2 linked regions of the Xenopus tropicalis genome follow. The protein of the gene in region 2 purifies or fractionates together with the protein of the main gene of each other region. This does not show direct contact. Links are inferred from orthologs where the notes say so. Each region holds a gene or a part of one and is shown on either strand. Other genes may lie near its edges.

The links. The genes of interacting proteins can lie anywhere in the genome.
Region 1: the proteins of exoc2 (region 2) and exoc7 fractionate together in Homo sapiens (co-fractionation; 4 studies listed by BioGRID, with this or other methods). This does not show direct contact. The link is inferred for Xenopus tropicalis from reciprocal best matches to the Homo sapiens genes EXOC2 and EXOC7.

The regions. Positions count from the first base shown.
Region 1 is NC_030686.2:45,038,649-45,042,167, reverse strand, and holds part of exoc7 (exocyst complex component 7), read left to right. Parts: coding exon 1-14; intron 15-429; coding exon of another isoform or gene 430-441; intron 442-1,330; coding exon of another isoform or gene 1,331-1,498; intron 1,499-1,852; coding exon 1,853-1,921; intron 1,922-2,092; coding exon 2,093-2,238; intron 2,239-2,327; coding exon 2,328-2,480; intron 2,481-2,554; coding exon 2,555-2,653; intron 2,654-2,736; coding exon 2,737-2,796; intron 2,797-2,973; coding exon 2,974-3,040; intron 3,041-3,519. UniProt on the Homo sapiens protein: Component of the exocyst complex involved in the docking of exocytic vesicles with fusion sites on the plasma membrane.
Region 2 is NC_030682.2:87,070,881-87,074,847, forward strand, and holds the start of exoc2 (exocyst complex component 2), read left to right. Parts: upstream 1-1,165; 5' UTR 1,166-1,274; exon of another isoform or gene 1,275-1,314; intron 1,315-3,967. UniProt on the Homo sapiens protein: Component of the exocyst complex involved in the docking of exocytic vesicles with fusion sites on the plasma membrane.

The DNA.
Region 1 (3,519 bases), on a different chromosome or scaffold from region 2:
AGCCAAAAGGCCAGGTCAGATGTGGGGTCTGAGAGCGCAGAGGGCATGGCTACTATATCAACATCATCTAGTTGGGTTGGGGGTTAATGGATTTCCCTATCAGCCAGTGTAGTGAGGGCACTAAATACAAAATGGTAGTACCACAGTTTCTGGTTTGGAGCAAGGCTAAGCAGTACGCCACTATTCTATGACACAAGCCATTTCCTTATACTGTTAATAAGATGTGTCTGCTCCCTCCTTTATGTATAAACACATATACACAGAGAAGGGAAGTGTATATATACCCTCATACAACATAGCAGCTCGTGCTGATATTAATAACTATACGTATTCGGGCAAGGAAATGTTTCCCTTTAATGCAGACTTTCCTTATCAAGTCCAGAGGTATTGATAGATGTCTGTTTCCTCCCTGTTATGTGCCGGTTCCAGTCTTCGTGCCAGGTAATACAAAGCGGACGCTTTCCTGCCAGTGTGCAGGGCCAGCACTAACCAAAACACGCAGCATCTCTGTGATGTGCACGAGGCACGTGTAAAACCCAGCCTATAGCAAACTTTCCTGTTTGAATAATCCGCCGTGTTTGCCGCTTGTTTCCAGAAAGTGCCCTCGCTTGGTACCTGAGGGTTGTTACTTCCCTCCCTTGTCACATATCTTACTGCTGTCTGTCTTTTGAATTGTTTGAAAAGTGTTTATATGACATGTTAACCCTTGTTTTGCCAGCCTGCCGCCTCCCCAGATACCAGGCTTTTCCGAGTGTCCGAGGCTAGTGGGTGGGAATAGACTGCCTTTTATTAACTGCTGGCTTAACTTAACACAATTTTGCCCTCGTCTCTTTCTTTCACACATTGCATGCTGGGAAATTGAATTACAGGCCTCCCAAATTCTAGGCTTCCACCTAGCTTTTATGGGGCTTCATCTAGTTGGTACAAGTGCCAGCTTTGGAGCAATATAAAACGTTTTGGTAATTATTATTTGTACTGTGAAATTTTTGCCATGGGCCCATGGATTATCCATCTTATAAAAATATGACTGTCTTCAATAGTAAATATGTATGCCTCAATTGCATTTTGCCCCCCCCTAATTGTACTACAGTCTAGCTTATGTTGTGCCATAGAGGCCTCCTTTGTTTTTTCCCAGCATGGAGGTGGTGGGTGCTGCAGAGCCAGTATCATTAGCTGCTTGGTTGCGCTACGTGGGGTGAATATCTCTTGAAATGCCGGTATTGAAGGGTGTGTGTCTTCCATTTCTGTGCTCGGTGGGGTCTTCCTGCTCACTTTCCAAGGTCTTGTCTCCCTCCCTATTTTCTCTTTCCCACTCTCCTCTTGGTGACAGGCACTATCCGCAAGGCTCAGAACCTCCTCAAACAATACTCTCAGCACGGGCTGGATGGGAAAAAGGGAGGGTCCAGTCTCGGAGTCCTTGAAGGTAATTTGCACGTTTCTCCACTGATCCGGCTTTCTTTCTCCAATCTGAACCTTCTGCTCAGAGATTTAAAACCAGGCCCAGATAGGAACTGAATCTTGGTGTATATCTTGGTGTAGGGAGTAAAACAGGCCGTATCCTTCTGTAAGCCTACACTGGAAAGGCAAATAAAAACCCTTCCTGTCAAATTATAAGCCCTGTCTTGGTGGCACAATGGCAGATAATGTGGAAGGATTTTACAGAAGAATGTAGCCTGTGGGGCTCTATGGATAACACTGGCTATATGATCTAAAGGGAAAGTCGTTGATTGACATTCCCACCTACCCTACAATCCCCTCCTCACTTGTCCGGACACCGGTCAGCCCATTGCCTCGGGCCGGGCGTTTACAAGATGTGCCATATAACCCTGTCCCCTGCCTCCACATTGAGCAGGTCTTGAGCAAGAATCACGTGGCCGATACCACGGAGAGGCCGTGGGAGAGAAACACGGCCCGGCCTCTGGTGAGTACTGGGTCCTTTGGGATATAGAGGGTCCCTTCTTTAAAAAAGGTGTTATCAGAGGTCTTTATAAAACTCGTAGCCATCAGTATTTGAACTGAGACCGGCACCGTGGTCCATTACCAATAACTAAGTGACAGCGAGGATCTATATGTAACTTGCCTGCCTTTGCAGGGAAGGAGGATGCCCTTGATCTAGAGACTGACACCTACATCTACTGCATCAGTGCCTTTGTCCGGCTAGCCCAGAGTGAGTACCAGCTGCTGACGTATATTATACCGGAGCACCACCAGAAGAAGACTTTCGATTCACTCATCCAGGTCTGCCGTTGCCACCTTCCTAATTTGGGGGTCACTAAGTATCTCAGAGATGTGCTCAGGGCTTATCTATTGCTCCCTTATTATTTCAGGAGACCTTGGACAACCTTATCCAGGAGGGTGAGAATATTGTATCCGCTGCTAAGAAAGCCAATGCCAGACATGATTTCACCTCTGTCCTGAGTATCTTCCCCATCCTAAGGCACCTGAAACTTACAAAGCCTGAGTTTGACAAGGTTCTCCAGGTAAGTGCTTGGTGCTTGTGGGGGATTACCCAAACATCATGCACCCTCTCTGACCCATCTCCCAATCTATTTAGGGCACCGCAGCTGGCACAAAGAACAAGCTGCCCAACCTCATCACCTCTATAGAGGCAACTGGTGCCAAGGCTTTAGAGGATTTTGCAGACTGTATAAAGGTAATGGGCACTTACTGGGAAGTGAAACTGTTCATGGGTGCTGGTCGGTTTCAATCTAATAGAGTTGTGTCCTTCTTATCCAGAATGAACCAAAGGAGACCAGTGTGTCAAAGGATGGCACAGTTCATGAGATCACCAGCAATGTGAGTTTTACAGCCATTATGTTGGTGAATAATGTGTTCTGAGCAGTGTGTGCATGGCATTGTGGGTTAGTGAGTGTGCCATGGGAAGGACTCATGGGATAGGCAGGTTTGTCGGGAGAATCTTGTGTTAATGATACGTCTGCCCCAGTAAAACTGATCTCTCTGCTCCCTATACAGGCCATCCTGTTTCTGCAGCAGCTGCTGGAATTTCAGGAGACAGCAGGAGCCATGCTTGCCTCCCAAGGTATCTCTGAGTGCTGTGGTCTCTTGCTTGCTACAACCACCCATATCCATTTCCAAAGGCTCCCAACAGGGAAAACCCCAGAGTTTGGTATCAGTTCACTTCCAGGGGAGGATTCCACTCACTTTGTGCATGTTGTCATTTCCCCTCTTTTTCTTGTTCCTACTACTTTCCCTTCAACATTTTATATATATTCTGCTCTTGCTTTCCCTTTTCCGGGTTCACTTGTCTGGCTTTATTTCCCTCTCTATCTCTCTCGCTCTGACTCTTTCTGCTTTCCCTTGCCTCTCTCTTTTACTCCACTCCCTGTTTATAAGTCTTGCTCTTGTAACTCCCTCTCACCTTTATATTTCAACTGAAATGTTTTTCTTTAACTTTGTTCTTCTCTTTATACTGCACTAAACTGATCTACTCTTTCCCCTCTTGTCTTTCTGGATCCTGGTTCCCTCCGTGCATTCTTGATTTGCCCCCCAATCTTATTT
Region 2 (3,967 bases):
GAAAAAATCGCAAAATGTTCGTTTTCAAGTCGGAACTTTTCCAATTCGGGTCGGATTCGTGGGTTAGTAAATCAGCCCCATAGAGTGTAAGCTCTACGGGACAGAGACCTCCTTCCTACCGTAAATGATACCACATGGCACTGCGTATTTACACTTATTTATTGTATTTATTATAATAGTTGTCCTCCCTGTGTGTAAGTTTCTCTGTTGTAAAATTGTACAGCCCTGTGTATCCTTGTAGCGCTTTCTAAATAAAGTTTTACATACATACATACATACAAGACTACAAAAAAAATTTATACAGGTTTAGTAGCACAATAGATTGATATAGGCCAGAATAATCCTCAACATTTATACACGAGGAAACCTTTTACAGCACTCATTAAAGGGCACATTAAACCCACATAAAATGGTACAATAAGCCTCAGCAACAAATAATACCCTAGTATAAATTGGTACTGTGACCCATTAAGCCTGAAATTCACCCCATCACAAAATTGCTACAGACAACCCTAATATTAACCACCAGCAGGGACTGACACGGCGTTAAAAATCATTCCCCCCACAGTTAGGCTCATCACTTTTAGGGCAGGCTGTGATAGTATGATGTAGGCATCAGCAGCAAGTGTCGGGACCAAGGCAGCAGCTGGCAGGTGGTAAAAGACTTAAATGACCCCTCTTGTGGGCCCCATATTTACAGAGGCCCATTCCATGCAATAAAAAGATTGATGCACTTCAGCTGACATGCCATTCATTTTCTCCTCTGAGGTTAAAAGAGTGCTTTACAATTGTCCCACCTTCACTCCTGTGCTTCACTTGGCTAGTTCAAGCGGGTTCTGAATGGAGGATCTTATATATAAAAAAAAAACTCACTAATCATTGCATAGACTCTGTCAGACGTGGCAGTGTGAGTTATTTTTAATGTCACATACAAAAAAAAATTTGTGTGATCCATAAACCATAGGAATTAGGGGCTACAGCTGAGTACACAGTAACAATGTAAAAGTTGTATGCAGGGCCGCCATCAGGGGGGCACAGTTGTCCCGGGCCCGGCCGCGATACAGTTATAAGCACGGGCCCCCTTTAAAGAGTTCCAGGCCTTAGTGCATTGGTGGTCAGCGGGTAATTTGATTGGTTGCGCCCCGTGCGTACGCGTGACGTCAGCACGCACGGGGCGCAACCTTATCATAGAGTAGCTGCAGCGGCGAGCCGGGGAACGTAAGAAGAGACGGGGGAGGCAGCCGGGGGAAAACAGGCGGACGCAGCCGGAAGAAGTAGGCGAGCGGTGGGGGAGAACATTGCGGGGGAGTTGGAGTATGTTGGGGAGGACGCTGGGGGGAGCTGAAGGATGTTGGGGAGTACGCAGGGGTGAGCTGGAAGTTGTTGGGGAGTATGCTGGGGGGAGCTGATTGATGTTGGGGAGTATGCTGGGGGAGCTGATTGATGTTGGGGAGTATGCTGGGGGGAGCTGATTGATGTTGGGGAGTATGCTGGGGGGAGCTGGAAGATGTTGGGGAGTATGCTGGGGTGAGCTGGAAGATGTTGGGGAGTACGCTGGGAGGAGCTGATTGATGTTGGGGAGTATGCTGGGGGGAGCTGATTGATGTTGGGGAGTATGCTGGGGGGAGCTGATTGATGTTGGGGAGTATGCTGGGGGGAGCTGATTGATGTTGGGGAGTATGCTGGGGGGAGCTGGAAGATGTTGGGGAGTACGCTGGGGGGAGCTGATTGATGTTGGGGAGTACGCTGGGGGAGCTGATTGATGTTGGGGAGTATGCTGGGGGGAGCTGATTGATGTTGGGGAGTATGCTGGGGGGAGCTGATTGATGTTGGGGAGTATGCTGGGGGGAGCTGATTGATGTTGGGGAGTATGCTGGGGGGAGCTGATTGATGTTGGGGAGTATGCTGGGGGAGCTGATTGATGTTGGGGAGTATGCTGGGAGGAGTTGATTGATGTTGGGGAGTACGCTGGGGTGAGCTGGAAGATGTTGGGGAGTATGCTGGGGGGAGCTGATTGATGTTGGGGAGTATGCTGGGGGGAGCTGATTGATGTTGGGGAGTATGCTGGGGGGAGCTGATTGATGTTGGGGAGTATGCTGGGGGGAGCTGATTGATGTTGGGGAGTATGCTGGGGGGAGCTGATTGATGTTGGGGAGTATGCTGGGGGGAGCTGATTGATGTTGGGGAGTATGCTGGGGGGAGCTGATTGATGTTGGGGAGTATGCTGGGGGGAGCTGATTGATGTTGGGGAGTATGCTGGGAGGAGTTGATTGATGTTGGGGAGTATGCTGGGAGGAGTTGATTGATGTTGGGGAGTACGCTGGGGTGAGCTGGAAGATGTTGGGGAGGATGCTGAGAGGAGCTGGAGGATGTTGGGGAGGACGCTGGGGGGAGCTGAAGGATGTTGGGGAGGACGCTGGGGGGAGCTGAAGGATGATGTTGGGGAGGATGCTGCAGTGGGCAGTGGCCCATAGTATGGGGACGCTGGGGGAGGACCAGCAATGTTTTAGGGGGTCCCTGCCCTGGCTACCAATGCAAAACGTAACCCCTGGCTACCAATGCAAAACGTAACCCCTCACTACCAATGTTCTAGGGGGGAGGGCCCTGCATATGCACAGCATACAGTTATGGACCATGGGGGAGGTAGGGGGAATGAGAGGAGTGCAGTGACATCTAGGAAATGCAGAATATAAAGTGACTGCCTGTCCCACCTGTATGCCTGAGGCAAATATAATTGACAGCTGAGATTTTGGACTTAGTTCATGACAGGTATAGATGTCTTAATTTAAAGGAGAAGGAAAGGCTAACTCACTGGGGGGTGCCAAAATGTTAGGCACCCCCAGTGACTTTAATCGCTTACCTTTTACCCCAGGCTGGTGCTCCTGTGAGAAGAAAAGTGCACCAGCCCGGGGTAGCTGCGAGCGAGTGTCTCCTCTTCAGTCTTTGTGCGCTTGCTAACTTCCCATAATGCCTTGCTCCTGCACCAAGATTGGTGTACATGCTTAGTGTGTAAGACCTATGAGGAAGCTTCCTGCTGATTGGCTCAGATCCACATTCCTATGGGGGGGAGGGAGTTCTTAGCATTCTTGAGGGAGGCGGGAGCAGGAGAGAGGAGAGAGCTGCGTGTCTCTGGCACAGGAAAACAAAGACTAGAAATCCTGTGTTTCTTTTGAAAGAGAACTCAGTGTAGCGTTTCTGTAAGTGCTTATGGCTGTATTTACATAGACCTTTATGATAATGCTTACTTAGTTTTTACCTTTCCTTCTTTAATTTTTAGTGCAGTCAGTGATTGATTGGCCAAACTGTTAGCTGTGTGGGTGTAGCATATAACATACAGACTTCACTGTACACAGCAGTTTGTGTGTTTTGAGTGTATCTCTTACAAAGTAATATACAAGTGTATGGTGCAGAAGCTTTAACTAGGTGGCTGTGATGGTAAGGGGAATATTTTAAAGGGGTCGTTCACCTTTAAGTTAGCTTTTAATATGGTATAGAATGCCCTATTCCTTGCAACTTTGCAATTGATCTAAATTATTTGTTAGTTTTTTGTTTTTTTTAATAATTTGCCTTCATCTTCTGCAGCTTTCCAGCTTTTATAGTGATAGTACCCCCTTAAATAGTTTGTGTGTGTGTGTAATAAATATATATATATATATATATATATATATACAGTGGTGTGAAAAACTATTTGCCCCCTTCCTGATTTCTTATTCTTTTGCAGGTTTGTCACACAAAATGTTTCTGATCATCAAACACATTTAACTATTAGTCAAAGATAACACAAGTGAACACAAAATGCAGTTTTTAAATGAGGGTTTTTATTATTTAGGGAGAAAAAAAATCCAAACCTACATGGCCCTGTGTGAAAAAGTAATTGCCCCCTGAACCTAATAACTGGTTGGGCCACCCTTAGCAGCAATAACTGCAATCAAGCGTTTGCGATAACTTGCAACGAGTCTTTTACAGC